Linked DNA regions of Caenorhabditis elegans. The protein of the gene in region 3 interacts with the protein of the main gene of each other region in a pairwise test. Each region holds a gene or a part of one and is shown on either strand. Other genes may lie near its edges.

Region 1 (5,160 bases), on a different chromosome or scaffold from region 3:
GAAATCTCATCACCAAAGATTCTCAGATCCTCATTTTCAGGTTAAATTAAAAATCCATTTTTTTCCTTTTAAAAGCTTTTATAAAAGAAAAAATAGTTAAATATAAGTATAAATTTTTTGCAGGTGCCATTCGCAAATCTTTATCGACTCCCGATTCAGTTAAAGTCGAGACAGCGGTTACGGTAACCGCACTGTTCGAATTTGCCAAATCCTCCGCGGAGACCATGTCCATCGAGCAGGGCGAAATTCTTCTCGTACTCGAACACGATCACGGAGATGGATGGACTCGAACCAAAAAGTAATACAAGTAACAAAGAATTACCAAGTAAATAAAATGAAAGTTGCAGGAAACACAACGAAGAGTCAGGATTCGTGCCAACTTCGTATTTGCAATTCCCCCAGTGATTTCATAAATTAAATAGCATTATCATCATCAATATTGTACTCGAGACTGCGCTTATTATCGTCCTGTGAATGAAATAATTGATTATAAAAACAGATTCTTCGATTTTCGATTCATATTGCCATTTACGGAGAAAATGCACATAAAAAGTAATGGTATAATAAATTACAGGAAGTGGGAGAATGGGAGGCACCGCGGATTGTTGAGTTTAAAATGGGAAAAAAACATTGCACAATAAATTAGTAAAAAAGAACGGTTAGGCTATCTAGACAAATTAAATCAGCTTCACATAATTAGCGGGAAAAAGGCCTACGCGGCCGCTGGGCGCACGTCCTTTCCACCATCCGCTATCGACTTGATCGATATCTGTGATAATGTCATCAGGATCAAATGAGATCTCCGTGTCATCTGCAGCCTGGTAGTCCCAGAGAGCCATCGCGTTCTGCTCGGCGACCGCCGGCGGGAAATCGTACTGATCAATTGGTGGAGCAGCGACTTTTATTGGCGAGGATTTCGGTGCAAACACGGGCTCCTCTGGCATCACTGGAGGCATGTCATACTGTGAGGCGATGTGAGCTGGCAGTTGAGAGCTCGATGAGTGAGAGTCGATCGGCTCCGGCGGAGCATCATACTGAGACGCATAGTGGGAAGGAGCTGAAACTGGAGGTACAGCTGGTTCGAAAGACTCGTGAACCGGTGGAGCATCGTACTGGGAGGCGTAATGCGATGGAGCTGGAGTTGGCTCAGGTGGAGGTGGAGCAATGACCGGGGTTGGAGCAAGGAATGTAGGTGGAGCTGGCTCTGCTGGTGGCTCTTCGTATGCATCGTAAGAGACGGCAGGTTCTGAAAATATTCAAATTAGGACTAATAAACTTTATACGAAAACTGACTCATAGCCTCGGGCTTGTAAACCATTGGCTCTGGCTCATAAGCTATTGGCTTTGGCGTATACGTCGAAGGCTCATCTGGCTCAGTGAGTCGGTTAACGGGTTCACGGGGCGGAGAGGTCGTGCCAACTGGCGGCCACTTCTTAGGCGATCCATTCACTTGAGGCTTCGGAAGCACTGGACCGGAAGGTTTTGAGCTGAATAATTCTTTTCTGCTTCCAACGAGACCTGCGCTCGGAGTGGGGGCGGGAGCTGGAGCTGGATTCACCGAAGATGGCACGGGCTTATCACTAATTTGAGCCTTCCCGTGAAGATCATCCGCAATCCGTTTTCGATCCGTCTCGAATTCCTTCTGCTTCTGGGCCTGTGCCTCTTTTTCCTCCGCTTGCCGCCGCTGCTCCTCCTCGTTCATCTTGCTCCAGAACTCTTCGCGAGCTGATGAACTGATCTCCACGTGCGGTTTTGTTGGCTTGTACACCGATGTGACCTTATCCGGTTGATAGTTTTCTGTTTTGGAGTGAATTTCCGAGGCCATTCGCTGTCGATCCGCTTCGAACTGCTTGTGTGCTTGTTCACGAGCGGTTTTTTCTTCTTCTTGACGCCTAAAATTGCGAATTCTATTTCAATAAATTACTCAAAACACCCACAGCTTCTCCTCCTCGTTCATCTTGCTCCAAAACTCCTCCCGTTTGACCGTCTTCAGCTCAACGTGGGGCTTCGTCGGCTTGTACACCGAGTTAACCTTCTCCGGCTGGAAATCTTCGGCTTTTGTGTGAATTGCCGCGGCCGTGCGATCACGGTCAGCTTCATACTGCTTTTGCTGTTTCGCATGAGCCACTTTCTCGTCGGCTTGTCGTCTGAAACTTCTTAGAGGTGATTACTTGATTTTCAGGACACGATTTCATGTAGACAGTACCTCTTCTCCTCTTGATTTGTTGTGCTCCAGAAGTTCTCGCGAGCCTCCGAGCTGAGCTCCGAGTGTGCATTCGTCGGCTGGTACACCGAATTCACCTTCTCCGGCATGCTGTACGTGGATTCGACGATGGCGTTGGCGTTCGCCGCCGGGAGCTTTCGCACCTCTTTTCGAATCGCGTCCGGCTCGATGTCGATTTCCGATCTGGCATGGAGCACAATGTGAACTGTTTTCAAGAATCTACGGAACTCTTCAGCGTGCGGTGTCGTTGAGGCCAAACGCAGTGTGGGGACTCCTTCGCCTTGCTGCAATATTCAAACATTAAAATGGTTTTTTTCCTGGAACTTCGTGTTTAAAAGTATACAAATCTCGATACATCTCTAAAAATATTTGAAACCATAACTGACAAAGAATTTTTGGAAAAAACTACAGTTTTTGTTTTACAAATGGATTTTTAAAAAAAATTTTCAGCAAAAAATCTCACAATAGCGTTATCTTTTGAGAGGAACATGGAATGCAAGCAAATTGACATGATTTTTGTTAATATTCAACTTTTAAGACCTAGTAATCACGAATTTTTTCGATTTTCGTTTTCCTTTCAATTTAGCCGTAAACTCCATACCCAATGCACCAAAACGATTTTCGGGAAGACATCACTGCTCAGTCGCACCGAAATCACACCAAACTGGAGCTTTCCCGAGCTGAAACTGTCGGCGAACTCCTCAAGACCACCAGCTGAAATAAATAGATTTTTAGGAGGGAAAGCAACGAAATCTGAACTTACTTCCTTCTTCTTTGACTCGTAATGTGTTCGAATTTCCTTCATAATCGAAAATCACCCATTTATCGCCATCTGAGTCATCACTGGCACGCCGATACGACGCTTCAATCTCCTTGCCGTGTGCATGATAGTTGAGAGTCATCTGGAACACATACAATATAGGGTTCGACGACCTATATTGTAATTATTAAGCTAAAATCGAGGGAAAATTGTAATAGTGACGCGATAAAAAGCCTCCGAATGGTCTCCTTATCATTTTTTTATTTTCTTTCTACGCAGAACTTATTTCTCTATGGTACTCCATTAATCACACTATGTTTCGCAACATATGGCAAATTTGCCACAAAGGTGTGCATTTTTCTCGATTTGATCGAGTCACGAGGTAATTTTCAATTAAGGCCGAGAAATTTATGGGTTAATATAAAGAATCTCAAGTAAAAAATCGTTTAAAAGACCATTTTCGGTAGTTGACCAGGAAATGAGAGAACGGAACGGGCGTAGCCGCCAGCAAACATCTCTCGTTCCCGCGCCAGCGGTAGGCAGAGACCCTCCAGAAAACTAAAGAAATGTCTCGAGAGATGTTTTTTTTTTCCGGTAGGCGAGATTGAATTGGAATCAAAGCTTAATCTTCTCGCGGTCGAGTCTCCGCGTGCGTGTCTCACACATTTTTGCATGAAAAACTCCGGATTCTATGGTCTGATCGTTGCGATTAAAAATGGAAAACTAATAGGCTGACCGACAAAAATTTGCGAAAATACCCAATTATTTTCAATGCAAAGATACAAAATTTGATGGAAAAGAGAAACAAATAAACTTTCAGAAATCAGGTTAAAAGAGGATGGGTCTCGCCACGAATAGATTTTTAAAGTCATGTGCCTTTGAAGTTACGGTAGTTGAGCGGCTTCAAATTTATTATTTTTAATTATGGCAATATTTTCACTTTCTGGTTAATTTTAAGCGAAAAATTGAGTTTGGAGGAAATTTGTTTCGTTTCAAATTATTTAAATTGTTTTGAAACAGAAAAAACTAAAGCTGTAATTCATCGCTTAAAATTTTATATTTACAGATATTTCTGATCTAAAAAAAACAGAAGAAAGAATATTCAAATGTTCAAGAAAGAATGTCAACAGTACTGCTAGAAATTCAAAAAATAAATCTAAAATTTGGAGCGTTTGAAGGTGGTTTAAGCTTTCATGAAAACATTTTAAACGATCTGCAGGTTAAAATCTAAATAAAAATAGGTTTTCACATTGAAAAACGGCATAGATGATTAATTTCAACACATTTTTTAGATTTTCTACATATGTACTCATCTATTTGAAAACGAAATTGAAAGGGATAGAAAACATATTAATAACACTAATCAAAAAGAAACATTGGCCCCAAGATGTGTGTGAGTCACTTTTGATTGTGTTTGTGTGTGTTGGGCCAGTTCAGGGCGGCAGTAAGATAGTAAGGGAAATAGTGAGGCTGTCCGTTAAGACGCAGCAGTTCAGAGCGCTCAGTGGAACATACGACCGCCCTTAATGGCTGTCGTCTCTCACTCGTATGAAGTCGGACACAAGAAGTATGTAGTAGTAGTGGTATATTTAATTGTTCGTGTGTGTAGGTCTTTACTAAAAACTTTTCCTTCTAGGTGACCCTAAATCTCTTCGCTTTTCATACTGTCTCACAGTCAAAGGGTTAAAGCAGTAAATTTTGGGATTTTCTGCAGAATGACTAATCTCTTGATGACTTCTCTACTTGCGACTGTTTGTTTGCGCATTTGTGAACTGAGTCATTCTGATCATTTTTGGGGGAATGAATTGTTCCATCAGGTTGATTAAAAAATAGTTGGTGAATCGAAATTTCAAAAAAAAATTGAGGCAGGATGTTTCGCGCGCTGGGTAGAGAAAAACGATATTTACATAAAATGAACAAAGTGAAAACATAGAATCTCTTCCTCTTGGCTGTCCGAAAAGCAAACAGAAACCGTGTGTTAGGGCAAAAATACAGAGAAAAAGCCATTCGACACACTTCTCTCTCTTCCTCCTGACTCAGTCACCAGTGCTCACAGCGTGCATTTGCTCTTTCCGAGAGAGAAAATCTTCTCAATACATCCGGAAACCTTGGAAGAACAACAAAAAGTAGAAAATATTGATAAAGACATTTGTATTCACTGAACATATGAATCGTT
Region 2 (4,563 bases), about 12 Mb from region 3:
CTTTTTTCCATTATTTGATATCAATTCGCGTCGCTTTGTGCAATAACGCAACGTATTGTTACTTTCTCCGTGGAGCATGTTTGCATTGCGACTACCTTGGCGACGGCTCTGTGTATGTTCTGTACTTTTTTTTTGATTTTTTGAACTGAATTTTAGGAGTTTGAAGTGTTTTGTAATCGAAAAAATTAAAAATAAAAAAAAGGTTTTAAAAAAATTTAATTTAATATATTCAGCGTTTCAGCGGTTGTTGTGATTGATTTTCTGATATAATCGAAAAAAAAAGAAAAAAACATTGAGGTTTGATTTATTTATTTCTGTTTTATTTTCGCCTTGCTCAATATTCCGGTTTCCGGCATTTTATGACGGAAAAGCTCCTCCCCCGCCGAGCGGCTTGTCGGAAATACCGGAGAAACGGCCTTGTTGTTTCGCACAGAAATGTCTCCGTCTCTCTCTCTCGGTCTTCCCGAATATATTCGGACTGTTTCTGTTCCCTATCCGATTCGAGAATCTCTCTCTCTCTCCCCCTGCCGGCGATGGATTTTTGTTCGATGTATTTATATATGATGTTTCTGCGCTTGTTTTTGGTTTTTTGTGACGTTTTATTAGATTTTAAAGCTTAAAAATCGAAATTTTCACTGATTTTTATGCTTTAAAGTTGAATTAGATCGAAATTTCGTCTAAAAATCATCTGAAATTCACTTTTGAAGCTCAAAAATTCAACTTTTCAAGAAATCAATTTGACGGTGCGGTTGAGGCTCACACTACAAACTACAAGATTTTTAGCCTCAATCACCGAAAACTTTGTAGTTTGTAGTTTTTTATGCTGAAATCCTCATTTTTTGCGGATTTTCACTAGATTTTTTGTCATTTTTCGTAATTTCCATAATCTTAAAAATATCAAAAAAGATACTATTTCTAAAAATTAATTTTTTTGCGTTTGTTTTTGGTTTTTAGCGACGTTTTATTGAAATTTTAAGCTTCAAAGTCGGAATTTTACTGATTTTTATGCGAAATTATTCCAAATTTTAGTTTAATTATCACAAAAATCACTTAAAATAGTATTAAAATTCAGAAGAAGATAAAATTTTGGTTGAGGCTCACACTACAAACTACAAGATTTTCAGCCTCAACCACCGAAAACCTTGTAGTTTGTAGTGTTTGGGCCTCAACCAACATTTTTAATTCATTTTTCATAATTTCTATTATCTTAAAAATATAAAAACTGAGGCGAATTTTTTTTCTTATTTTTCTTCAAATCAAATTTCTTCAATATTCGATTTTTTCTGAAAATTAATTTTTGGCGCGTGTTTTTGTTCCTTTTCTGCAGGCTTCAAGTACTTTTAAGCTGCAAATTCGGAAAATTTATTGTTTATGCACTTTTTGGTCAAAATAATTTCTTAAGCAACGTGTATTTGTCCTCGATAATTTTTTTAAAAGTTTTCCAACTCGAATTCCGTCTCAAAAAATTCAAAATAAATTAACAAAAGGCAATTTATTTCGGAATTTCTTACAGTGATGAGAGAACCATTACTCCAATTAATAGTTCTATCACTAATAATCATCGTCGTCAATACACAATTCGAATCGGGTCGTCTATGTTTCTGTAAAGGGTTCGAAGCGGTTGAGCCATGTGATTGCTCGAAACCTCAGACTATTGATAAATTGAATAATCATCGAATTTATGAGAAAGTACAGAAGTTGCTCAAAAAGGATTTCTTCCGGTTTTATAAGGTGAGGATTTTTTGGGAAATTCGGGAGAGAAATCGTTAAAAATTGAGAAAATCGCTTGAGTGAGGCTACAAGAATTGTAGTTTGTAGCCTGGGCCTCAACCAAATTGAGTTTTGCAAAAAATCGATTTTGTAAAATCATTTTGCACACAATTTTCGATGTAAAAGCTTATTTTCAACTAAATTCGCAAATTTTCACAAAACAATATTTTGTTCGCATTAAAATCGTCGAATTTTCATAAAAAATCGCTTGAGTGAGGCTACCAGAATTGTAGTTTGTAGCCTGAGCCTCAACCAATTTAAATTTCGTCGAAAATCGTTTTTTTTTTCAATGAAAATTAGTAATTTGTAACGTATATATTGAATAAAAACGGCGGTTTTTTCATAGGATTTAAACTTTTTCAGCAAAAAATTGGTTGAGGCTTAAATATATTGTAGTTTGTAGTGTAAGCCTCAACCACAAATAGCAATAAACCACCAATTCCCCCTTAAAAACTCGAATTTTTCAGGTAAATATGGATAAAACATGCCCATTCTGGGCAGACGATCGACAATGTGGCACAAATCAATGCGGAATCGCATTCTGTGATGATGAGGTTCCCGCGGGACTTCGACGACGAAATGCAGTGAATATGGTACGCAGAAGCTCTCATGAGAGTAGTCATGAAATATCAGAAAATCATAACAACAACCGCCAACAACGCTGGAATGAGACAACGAAAATTGGGGTAATTGTTCAGGAGGCTGCTGCTGTGAAAGAGGAAGAAGATGATGATGCTGAAAAGTGTGCAGATGCTGGAAATAATATTGATCCAATGGATAGAACACTTCATGATGATGAGAAACGACAATTGGATGCGATGGATCATCATGATGATGGACTGGAGGACAAATTCTGTGAAATTGAAGGTACATCTTTTGAAATTTGGAATATTTGCCATGAAAAATTTTATATTGCTGCGTTAAAACGTTAGTGTAGCTAGCTTGTAATATGAGCGTTGTTTTAATTATTGGATTAGATATGTGTTAAAACGTTCATTATCAAATCGTTTAAATTTACTCAATATTGCCACGTTGCATTAAATTTCAAATTTCCCAATTCCTTGAGGATTTCGTAAGAATTCCATTTGCTATGCTGACGTGTATTTATAGGAAATCGGGATAATGAATGAAAAAGGGAAGCATGGTTAATTTTAATTATGAGCGTGTTACCAAAATATACACAATTTGCCAAAAATCATGGGGAATTGCTTGGAACAATATACTACCGTATATCCTCTATTAGTTTTGCACCCCTTTGCTCAACTTTGACAGCTCATTACTCATTTTTTGTTTTGAACATATGAATAATAATTAACAAACTAAATACTATAGAAAAATATCTAACAAATATTTTATCAGTTGACAACATTTCCATAGAACAAACGACTACTGAGATATGAGCTGCCAAAGTTGACAAAAGGGGTGCAAAACTAATAGAGGATATACGGTAACTAATACAATTGTTAGTATTGCTAAATGTTGTTTCAAGTTTTTGAAATTTTTAATCTAGACTAGTGTGCATTGTTTTTTTTTCAAAATGTCTCACATGCATGTTATAATTTAACGAACTTTTTCGATATCACAATTTAGGATCAAATTTATTAACGAATATTCTTTTCTGGTAAGTCGTAGCCTCACAATGTATTGAACAAGTATATAAGATGTAGACAATATTCTTTTATACCTGACTTTATGAGATAAATAGCTTTAATGATATTCGGCTCTTGTTTCAGAAATTTAACGTATAATAATTATAACAATAATAGTTTACGACATAATTTTATGAATTAGCATCTACGGTAAATTTATTAGTGACGATTCTTTTTTTTAGCACATTTTTTTATGTATATAATACGAGAGCTTATATGTCAAGTATTGAACAATTGAGATGCATACGATATTCTTTTATGCTTGACTTGTGTTAAATTAACGTATATTTTCAAAATCTCTACTATCGTCCTATATAGTATGTATTAGTAATATTGCACCACTATACTTCACTGTGACAATACATGATTCACTATAGATTTTTTAAAAAATTATTAACTATTTACAAAACTATATAAGAAGAAATTGAGATATTTTTTTGGATATAACAAAAGGCAACGATAAATTGGGTGCGATGCTAATATGGGAAGCACGGTAAATCTATTAGTGACAATGTAATAATATATTCATTATACAACAAGTGTTGTATTTCCTTTTATATAATACGAGAGTCATATGTACTGTTTCAGATAATTACCATGTAGGTGATTTTTTAATGACATAGTTTGAATGATATTCGGCTATTGTTTCATAAATTGAACGTATGATAATTATAACTATGATAGTTCATTCGATTTATGTATTGGCATCTAGTGTTTTCATCCGACATTTAATAGCTTATTTCCTTTTTACTCCTCTATACGTGCAATACTAATAGGGGAAGTACGTTAAAGTACGTTATATCTATTAGTGACGATGCATTAATGTATCACATGAATTTTCATTCGCAAATGCATGTATCGTGATTCATTATACCACAAGGGAAAATACTGTTTTACTACTTGATCTTTTACTACAGTTAGCTCTTTTACTACTTGATATCTTTTACTACGATTTGACCACATAGATCTTTTACTACGGAAAGTACTTTTTTACTACCTCATCTTTTACTACGTGGATGTTTTACTACGTTTTACTCTTTTGTTACGGACGTATTTTTACTACGTGGAGGGACACTGTTGGGTTACTGTAGTTGTATTGTGTAAGTAACAATTTTCAGATTATATAGTATAGTTTTTTATTAAT
Region 3 (4,145 bases):
GAATGCAACTCAAAACAGGATTCACCAAAACAGGATGCAAGGGCGGAGCCTATTTCGCAACAACCGCGCATGCTTTTCCCGCAAGCCTCGCACGTTTTTTCCTTGATGTTGTTGCATTTTTTAAAGAGAAAAAACGTGCGAGGCTTGCGGAAAAAGCATGCGGTGGTTGCGAAATAGGCTCCGCCCCTGTATCCTGTTTTGAGTTGCATTCCGTTTTGGTGGGGCCTCTTAAATTAAATCGAAAAGAAAATCTGAGCCCGTAAATCGACCTACAGTAATCATTTAAAGAATTACTGCAGTTTTCGCTGCGAGATATTTTGCGCGTCAAATATGTTGTGCAGTACGCAGGTTTTTATTCCAATATCTTCCAGGTTCTAATGCTTCCAATCACTCTGGAGATATGATTGTCCTGCAGCTTGTCAGAAATCTGTGGCAAGAGCTCGGAGAGCAAAACTGACGGGAATTCGAAGATCACGAGGAGATGAAGAGCCTCGAGATATATGGAGGGGAAAAAAGTTTATCGGAAAATTTTTATACATGCTCAATATACATGTTTAGTTTACAAGTGATACCAGCATTCGGGAGAGGGGGGAGAGAAAATTAGCAGTAAATTGTGGGAATTTAGTTTTGAAGATTCAGGCGGCACGGTTGAGAATGACGTTGGCGGATGGTACCAAATCTGAAAATTTTAAAAAAAAATTAGAGAATGAACATTTTTTTGGTCTCAAAAAACCAAAATTCATAACGAAACTTTTCAAATTTTTATTTATTTTTTTCGAAAAAATGGCCCAATTACAGCAGAAATCTATATATTTTAGCGTTTTTTTCGTTGATTTAGGCACATTTAAAGTCAAATTGCACCATACTGCTCCAATATTTAAAAATTAGTGTCAAAATATAGAAAATCAGTTGATTTTTCTGAAAATAATACTTAATTTAACTGAAAAATTCGAAAGTGCTCAAAAATTGCCTTACAATTGACAATTCGTGACTTCTAGGCCATTTTTGAGCACTTTTTCAGATTCTTCAGTTAAATTGAGTCTTTTTGCTGAAGAAGGACAAAAATCGAATAAAAATAAATTTCCGGCAGCTGTGAACAGGAAAAGTTGGCGAAATAGCTGAAAATCGTCCACTTTTTTTTTCGAAAATTTCCAAGTTTCATCATGAAATCCGGCCTTTTTGAGCAAAACTCACTGAGAACTTTGAGCGGTGTTCCCATATCATCCTCGGTGAACACTTTGCGGGGGAATGGGGTCATCAGGGTGAACGGAACACCGTTTGCGTGATTAGTTTCGACCCAGGCGCGGACCATTGCGAGCTGAAAAATTAATTCAAGGGAGTCGAGAATATTTAAATTACCGGCTCATTAGCTTCAAACTGTTGTCTAACAGTTTGTCCATCGAGAAGTCGGAATTGAAGAGTTGTAGTTGAGTAGTCTTTTGGCGGAGCAACTGGAGCTGCAGACGGAGCAGGCTTTGCCTCTGGAACCGGTTGGCCTGAAGCTTTTGCCTTACGGGCTTCCTTGTCAAGCCGGATTTGCTCGAGAACTCGTTTTCTGGCGATTTCGTCTTCGTTCTTTTCGCGGCGACGATCTTGAGCGGCTTCTCTGCAAATTGGGAATATTATTATTTAAATTCAATGGAAAACAGTTTTCTAACCGAATTTCACGATCTCTGGCGGCTTCTTTATGGCTGATCATGGCTTTTCCATCCTCACGACGCTTTTTCTCCTTCTCACGATTCTCTTCGGCCTCGAGCTTTGCCTTTTTGGCCTGATGGACTTTGATTTTTTCTCGGATTTCCAGGACTTTTGCGGCCTTTTCCTCTGCAGTGAGAGGCTTGATAGCTTCCGAGCTTTCGCTGAAATTCTCGTGCTTTGTCTTCGAAGCGTGGAACATGATAGCATCATCGTTGGCGAGAAGCTTTCCGCAGCTGGAAAAAAAAATTTGGAGAAATAATTAATAAGAATCGTAGGGGGGAAAAACTCACTCATCACACTTAAAACTGGCGGCTACCGGGGGTGCACCACTGTCAGCGGCTCCTGGAGCAGCTTGAGCTGGAGCATCTGTCTCCATTGGTACACCGGCTCCGTCCTTCTCAATCCAATCCAACGCCTGATCGAGATTTCTGTTGTTTCCGGCGGCGGCCTCGGCTTTGTCGGCTGGGAAGCCCATATCCATGAGTTGTTGGGCGATCGACATTGTTATTCTGGAAAGAAATGCGACAATTTGGCGAAAAACTAGATTTTTTCTCATTTTCCAGAAGAATTTTGGGATTTTTTACGAAATAAGCTGTTCAAAACAGTGATATATTAACAATAAAGTGGTTTAATTAATAAAAAACCTTAAGAAATGCGTTTAAATCAGAAAATTCAGATAATAAATGGACTGGAACACTTTTTCTAGCCAAGAACACAAAGAGAATGCTGACTTTCTTTAAAGGCGCACGCATTTAATCGATCGGGTCTCGACGCGATTCAGCCGATTTTGTCGGCGCGTTGTTTGAAAATAGTTTTTTAAACGCTAAGATTTTTGCATTTTTTTTCGTTTTCTGCACGAAAACCTAGAAATTTCGATCGAAAATCAACTTTTTTTCCAGAAAAATGGACGAAATGGAAGATTTCTTCGAAAATGATGAATTGGATCGAGAGCCAAGCCCTATGGGAGACGAAGCAATCGAAGGTATCTAGAATTTCGTGTGAGAAATCGGGTTTTAATTAAAGTTTTGTTCAGATAACAGCGGCGAGGGAGGCACTAGACGAGTCGTGGAGCCGAAATTGTTAAGGACTAAAAGACTAGCAGTAAAACGCTTATTTTCTATGATTTATTTAAATTTTTTCAAACTTTAGAATCCACGCCTAGCACTGAATGAGCGAATTTTGACCGGGCCGAAAGGAATTTCAGCTCTTCGGGAGACTTTAAAAGATTTCAAGCCAAATCCCAAGGATGATCCGGTAAATTTGAAAGTTAAAAAATACAATAATTTTCCCTTTTCAGTACGCAAATCTGGAGAAATTGATGAAAAAATACGCATACTGGGGACATTTGATGTTTCCGAAGATGAAAACCGAAGATGTTCTGAATCGAGTCGAGACACTGGGAACACGGCGGCAGGTTAAAGTTTTCATGATCAAGCACCGGCTTGGAGAGACTGGCGAGGATTCTGAGCACGAGGAGCAGGAGAATCAAAAGAATGGAATTATTGATGATGGAGCGAGTGATAATGACGATGATTTATTCAAGGATTTACCAGAGAAAGGTTGCAAAATTTATCCAAACTTGTTATTAGAAAATCAAAAAATCTTTCAATTTCAGAAGTCACGACTGAAAAAGCTAAAAATTCTGAAAAATCCGACCAAAAAACCGCTGAAATTGATGAAAATGTCGAGGAAGAGTATCGAATGATGGAGGAAGAGCGGCTGCGAGAGGAACAGGAAGCCAAGGAAGCTGCTGACGAAGATGCTCTTATGGAAGATTTCGGTGATATGAATAACGATTGGTGATAGAGCAATTAATTTTTTTTAATTTCACGTGTATTTTATATTTTTATGAACTTTTCTTTGTTCTCGAATTTTCCAAAGCGTGAGACCTTTTTTTTATCGAATAAAACTACATTCCTTATTGTTATGACATGTCAACGCCAACACTCTCTCCGTCTACAGAAAAGTTGATTCCGATGTGAGTTTCTGGAGGTCAAAAATTCGAGTTTTTCTTGATTTTCGCCGTTTTTCCAACGAATATTCTCAAAATATTGGAATTCCGCGGAAGAAAAATCAGGAAAAATTGCGAAATCGGCAAAAATTTCCACCGTACCCCTTTAAAAGCGCACGGCTCGCTTTAAAAAGTAACAATCGTGCCAGGACCTTTGAGTGAAATGAGGAGTGCGCCTTTAAGAAAGTACGGTCTTTTTCAGATTATTTCGCAATTTTTCCGGGTTTCCTGTTATTTTTCGAAAGAGAATCGAAATTTAATTAGAAAATCTGATTGTGAAATTGATTGCAAAAGACACAGTAATCGCCTAAAGGCGCATGGGCTTTCTGCTCCCTCAGAAAAACTTTACAGGCCTAGTTTGAGACTAAAAACCTTTGAATTTCTGTAGAATTGGACTAAGCGTGTCTGGAACATTCTCACCTCGTCCAATTGCCAC
Region 4 (4,204 bases), on a different chromosome or scaffold from region 3:
AAAAAAGCAGAAAAGGAGCTGCGAAGAGCGAGCCAGAGATAGAGAAAATGAGAAAAGTTGGAAATTGAACTTTGCAGACCACACTGACAAAGAAAAGAGGGGGAGAATGCGGGAGGAGAAGAGTGAAAAAAACGGATACTTTGATGAATCGAAAGGCCGGCTTGTGTTGTGGGTGGCAACCAACTAGTACTATGACTATGCCAACCTCGCCCGTAAAAACACGTTCTCTTTGCACGGAAGTCTTCCGAAAGTTCTCTAAAAGTTTCCATGACACAACATTGCCGATTGGGTTTTCAGATGCTAATCCCCAGGGATTGAGTTTGGTCATGAAGAGGAGGACAAAAAAATGACTTTTGGAGGCTTCCGGTCTGCAACTGTTTAACTTGAATTTCGAAACATACTTCTAAATAGGTAAACATCAAAAATTCTGTCTTCAAAGCAGGACATTTTTTTTGAACGCAAAAAAGTTATCAGTGGAACTCGCATACTAAAAAATTTTCCATTGGATATTTCGTTTGAATAAAGTTCAAAATATTTTTAAGAAATTAATTTATTTGAAAAAAAAACACTCAGTATGAAAACGAGAAAAGTTAGTTTACAAAGTTAAAAAAAGCAACTTGCTTTAGGATATCGCGGACATTTTCTGTTGTAAATTTATTATTACTTTTGTGCTAATTTAAGAGACAAAGAAACATTTTTTTTTAATTCTCAAATAGTTAACTCTTGTATGTCCAATCCAATAACGCAATCATTCATAAGAATCTAAGCATTGAGTCCGGTATCTGGTTGATTATCAGGATGAGCGGCAATAAAGGCGGGGATATCAGCAAGAGTCTCATTGATACGATTCACTGTTGGGTATGGCGACAAATCGAGGTTGAATCTGAAATGACGGTTTGATTGCGATCGGAACGATTTGGAAGGGAGGTTATTCTGATGGTTATCTGTGAATCTCTCATGTCTCATCCTAAACGCTCATCGCTTCCAATTCATGTTTGTTGAATGACTAATACATTTTGTTTGAATCAGGAATCCGATAAAAAGGTTGTTGCCACACAAGTGGATGTTGTTTTCAATAGGAATGTGTTTTCGTTTAAATCACTTGCTAAGATGATTCAGTAACTGTCTATGAAAAATTGGTCAGTGTTGTTTGAGGGTAACCCAAAAGGTGTTCAAATTTTCGAGGTTTTGAATACGCAAAATGTCAAACTAATACATTGAAATTCTGGATAGATTACTAAAACATAATAAATTTTCTCAAAAAGTTATCTATGTCCAAAATTCCCTGACCCTCCCTATAATCATACCGGTTAGCTGAGTAGATAAGTGGCGGGATGGAGAGATCCGCAATCGTGACGTCATCTCCGACAGCATACTTCCCAGAATGTTGCTTTAGAAGAATTTCAAGAGCAGTGAGACCTTCGACAACAAACTGTTTGGCAAACTGAAATTTTAAAAATTGAAAACATACATTGAAGATTCTGAAATTAAACCTGTCCTCCGAATCCTGCTTCTTTTTTATTCAAAAGTTGAAGAACCTTCAAATTGTGAAGAGGTTGAATTCCAGAAGCAACCTGTAAACCTCAAAACATAATTGTTACAGTTTTTGTAAAACAATAGCAGTATAAAGTTAAGAAAAAAACCAACTAAATACGTAAAACTTACCAAAAGAGAAATAGCTCTAGCGTGAGCTCTCTTGATTGGATCTTTTGGCAAAAGTGGAACGTCTGGATGCGTTTCTTCCAAATACTCAATAATCGCAAGACTTTCAGTAATTACTTGACCATCCACAACAAATGTTGGTACTTTTGCAGCTGGGTTGATTTCTTTCAGTTTGCTCTAAATTTTAAAATAATTTAAAGAACCGCTTGATTTTCTCTTACCTTAGCCTCTTCGGACAGCAAGTCGACAGTTTTGTATTCGTAGTCCACGTTTTTCAAAGCAAGCGCTGAAAATAACATTTTTGCTAGTTAAAATTGATATAATTAAAATACCAACCGATGCGAACTCTCCATGAGCACGATGATCTCCAATAAGAATACAGAACTGGCTTTTGGTTGGACATGTCTACAAGCAGAAAATAATTTTGTAAATTCTCAGAAAGAATAACTGATGATAATGACTAGTTGAAAAATAAACAAAAAGGGTCAAAGACGGAATGATGTCGAACTAACTGATAAGATTGGACGGTGTATGTCGACGAAATGGTTTTGTTGTTGTATATTGCAGACGCAGAACACTAGAGATAGTGTAATTGTGCAGACACACGTGGTCTTCTACTATACATTACCAACATCATATGTAGACCAAGAGAGAAATGCAGATTCAAAAAACATTAGAAGGAATAAGAAGAAGTAGACAAAACTATGGTAAGCCTTGGGCGATGCCTTGAGAGAACAAGCAGCCCACGACTTTTTTTATGAGGCTGCTCCCAACTCTTGCCCAAGCTGTACCCAAGTCATTTTTTCAAAGACAATATAAAAATACACAGTGCACTTTGATGTGCTTAAATGAAATTGAGAGCATCCAGGAACTATTTTTCAATTTAAACGACGTTGAGACACGTTCATTAAAAGCATATCTGGTGGATCGTATTAATGAGATCCAGACCCAAGCCACGGTGATTGTGGTGAACAACGTTCGTTTTTCGCCGGAGCTCAAGTTGGAGCTGAAAGAGATCTTGTCGAAATGCATTGACGGAACGCGGATCATTTCATCAGAGTCGATTGTTCCACGTCCCCGTTCTCAAAGCTCGACTTCTCGTCGTATCGATGGTAAGTTGAAACTAGGTGTTAGGTACATCAAAATACTAATTATATCTTTTTCAGATTTTGTGAAAATCACGGACGAGCGTCTTCTTCATCTTGTGGAAAACAATACGTCTTGGACTGGTGACAAAGTTCCGTTTTATCTCACTGAGATCAACCGCAATAAGGTAAGTTCGTGAATATGAGAAATATTTGCGGTTATGGGTTAAAATCAGAACTAATATTAATTAACTTTTTACAGTGATCGTCGACGCCCTTTCTTCTTCCCAACTCCTCTCTCATCAACGTGTCTTCGTGCTCGGGTCAACTTCTGATTTTCCGGTGTATTTTCTATTTAAGATCTCCCCTTCACTCCCTATAGATCTTTCATCTCCTTTGTTTTCCCCTCAGTCTCTTCTCAGTGCGTCAATGTAGCACGTTTATGATTTAAAAAACCAACTTCTTGCAATCTGTACTATCACTCAAGTTGGTCCAATAAATTGTTGTTTTTAAATCAACCGTCCTATTTATAAAACGTTTCAAAATGTCCTTCCATGTTAGTCTGTCCGTTCTCTGCTGTCCTCGCAAGTCTCTGAATCCCTCGTCGTTGTGATCCTAAAATCCGTCATCGATTTGTCCATTGAGTATTCTCAAAAAAGTTCCCATCAACGACATTTCTATTTCTGACCTGAATCAGTCGAAACGCAAGAGAGGTAAAGATCAGTCGACTAGGGATTGGGATGAAGCTGGTTCTAAAAACTGGTCTTTTGATAATCTGTCATTTTTCAGTGATCAATCCTATGTCATCCGTCTGGCTGCTTCAACAATGTCTACGCTGTAACTTCACAGTATACAACAAACTCTTGAAAAAAGTATGTTCCATTAGGTTATTCATTAGTTGGTATTGAGCTTTTCTTCTAATTGGACTGTAAAGTAATATGCAAAAAGTGATTAATGGATTTTTTTAGTCTTGTAAAATATTAATACAGTGAACTACCGCGCAAAATTTTACACATTTCAAGCATCGAAATGCTATTTTCAAATTGTTTTTGAATCCCTCTTTTAGTTAAGATTTCATCCAAAAATGTAATAGTGGAGAAAATGTTTATTTACAAATTATTTATTCCAATCTCAAAAATTAATAAAACACAAATACACAAACTACTGTTATAAAATCCAATTATCATCAATATCACAAGTTCACTGGAAACATACATTTCAAAATTACCGGGAGGTTCGGGGAGCTGACTAGAACTGAAAAGTTCACCAAGAAAAGAAACATTAAAATTTAAGTACAGTTGTGTTTCAGTAATTTTTCCATAATACGAAACAATGCATTATCTATTCCCATTTGAGATCAAACGACATTCCATATTTCCTCACATTACATTATGATGCACACTTTTGAATCTTCAACTTTCTCTCCTTTTTCTTTTTTACCATTTTTCTTTTTCTCA

What was found.
Region 1: the proteins of ubxn-1 (region 3) and dbn-1 interact in a two-hybrid assay, tested with the Caenorhabditis elegans proteins (one large-scale study listed by BioGRID).
Region 2: the proteins of ubxn-1 (region 3) and ero-1 interact in a two-hybrid assay, tested with the Caenorhabditis elegans proteins (one large-scale study listed by BioGRID).
Region 4: the proteins of ubxn-1 (region 3) and gst-42 interact in a two-hybrid assay, tested with the Caenorhabditis elegans proteins (one large-scale study listed by BioGRID).

What each region holds. Positions count from the first base shown.
Region 1 is NC_003281.10:13,758,944-13,764,103, forward strand, and holds dbn-1 (DreBriN 1/DreBriN-like (where Drebrin is from Developmentally REgulated BRaIN protein) family homolog), read right to left. Parts: upstream 3,127-5,160; coding exon 2,988-3,126; intron 2,939-2,987; coding exon 2,826-2,938; intron 2,509-2,825; coding exon 2,207-2,508; intron 2,148-2,206; coding exon 1,938-2,147; intron 1,893-1,937; coding exon 1,294-1,892; intron 1,247-1,293; coding exon 678-1,246; 3' UTR 501-677; downstream 1-500. Other genes in the region: toca-2 (Transducer of Cdc42-dependent actin assembly protein 2 homolog), read left to right, coding at 1-40, 124-298, 342-405.
Region 2 is NC_003279.8:14,662,936-14,667,498, forward strand, and holds the start of ero-1 (Endoplasmic oxidoreductin), read left to right. Parts: upstream 1-1,513; 5' UTR 1,514-1,515; coding exon 1,516-1,731; intron 1,732-2,237; coding exon 2,238-2,637; intron 2,638-4,563. UniProt on the Caenorhabditis elegans protein: Oxidoreductase involved in disulfide bond formation in the endoplasmic reticulum. Efficiently reoxidizes pdi-1, the enzyme catalyzing protein disulfide formation, in order to allow pdi-1 to sustain additional rounds of disulfide formation.
Region 3 is NC_003279.8:2,432,066-2,436,210, reverse strand, and holds ubxn-1 (UBX domain-containing protein 1), read right to left. Parts: upstream 2,210-4,145; 5' UTR 2,201-2,209; coding exon 1,989-2,200; intron 1,932-1,988; coding exon 1,659-1,931; intron 1,607-1,658; coding exon 1,360-1,606; intron 1,319-1,359; coding exon 1,195-1,318; intron 680-1,194; coding exon 636-679; 3' UTR 520-635; downstream 1-519. Other genes in the region: tipn-1 (Protein TIPIN homolog), read left to right, coding at 2,602-2,680, 2,732-2,799, 2,848-2,952, 2,996-3,257, 3,314-3,501; F23C8.8 (Protein kinase domain-containing protein), read left to right, coding at 3,630-3,676, 4,098-4,145. UniProt on the Caenorhabditis elegans protein: Ubiquitin-binding protein which acts as an adapter for ATPase cdc-48.1 and/or cdc-48.2, conferring substrate specificity.
Region 4 is NC_003284.9:11,725,732-11,729,935, forward strand, and holds gst-42 (putative maleylacetoacetate isomerase), read right to left. Parts: upstream 2,206-4,204; 5' UTR 2,066-2,205; coding exon 1,999-2,065; intron 1,949-1,998; coding exon 1,884-1,948; intron 1,840-1,883; coding exon 1,666-1,839; intron 1,575-1,665; coding exon 1,494-1,574; intron 1,445-1,493; coding exon 1,308-1,444; intron 884-1,307; coding exon 763-883; 3' UTR 533-762; downstream 1-532. Other genes in the region: D1053.2 (Histone-lysine N-methyltransferase, H3 lysine-79 specific), read left to right, coding at 2,420-2,774, 2,829-2,935, 3,010-3,012; D1053.3 (Ras family protein), read right to left, coding at 4,132-4,204.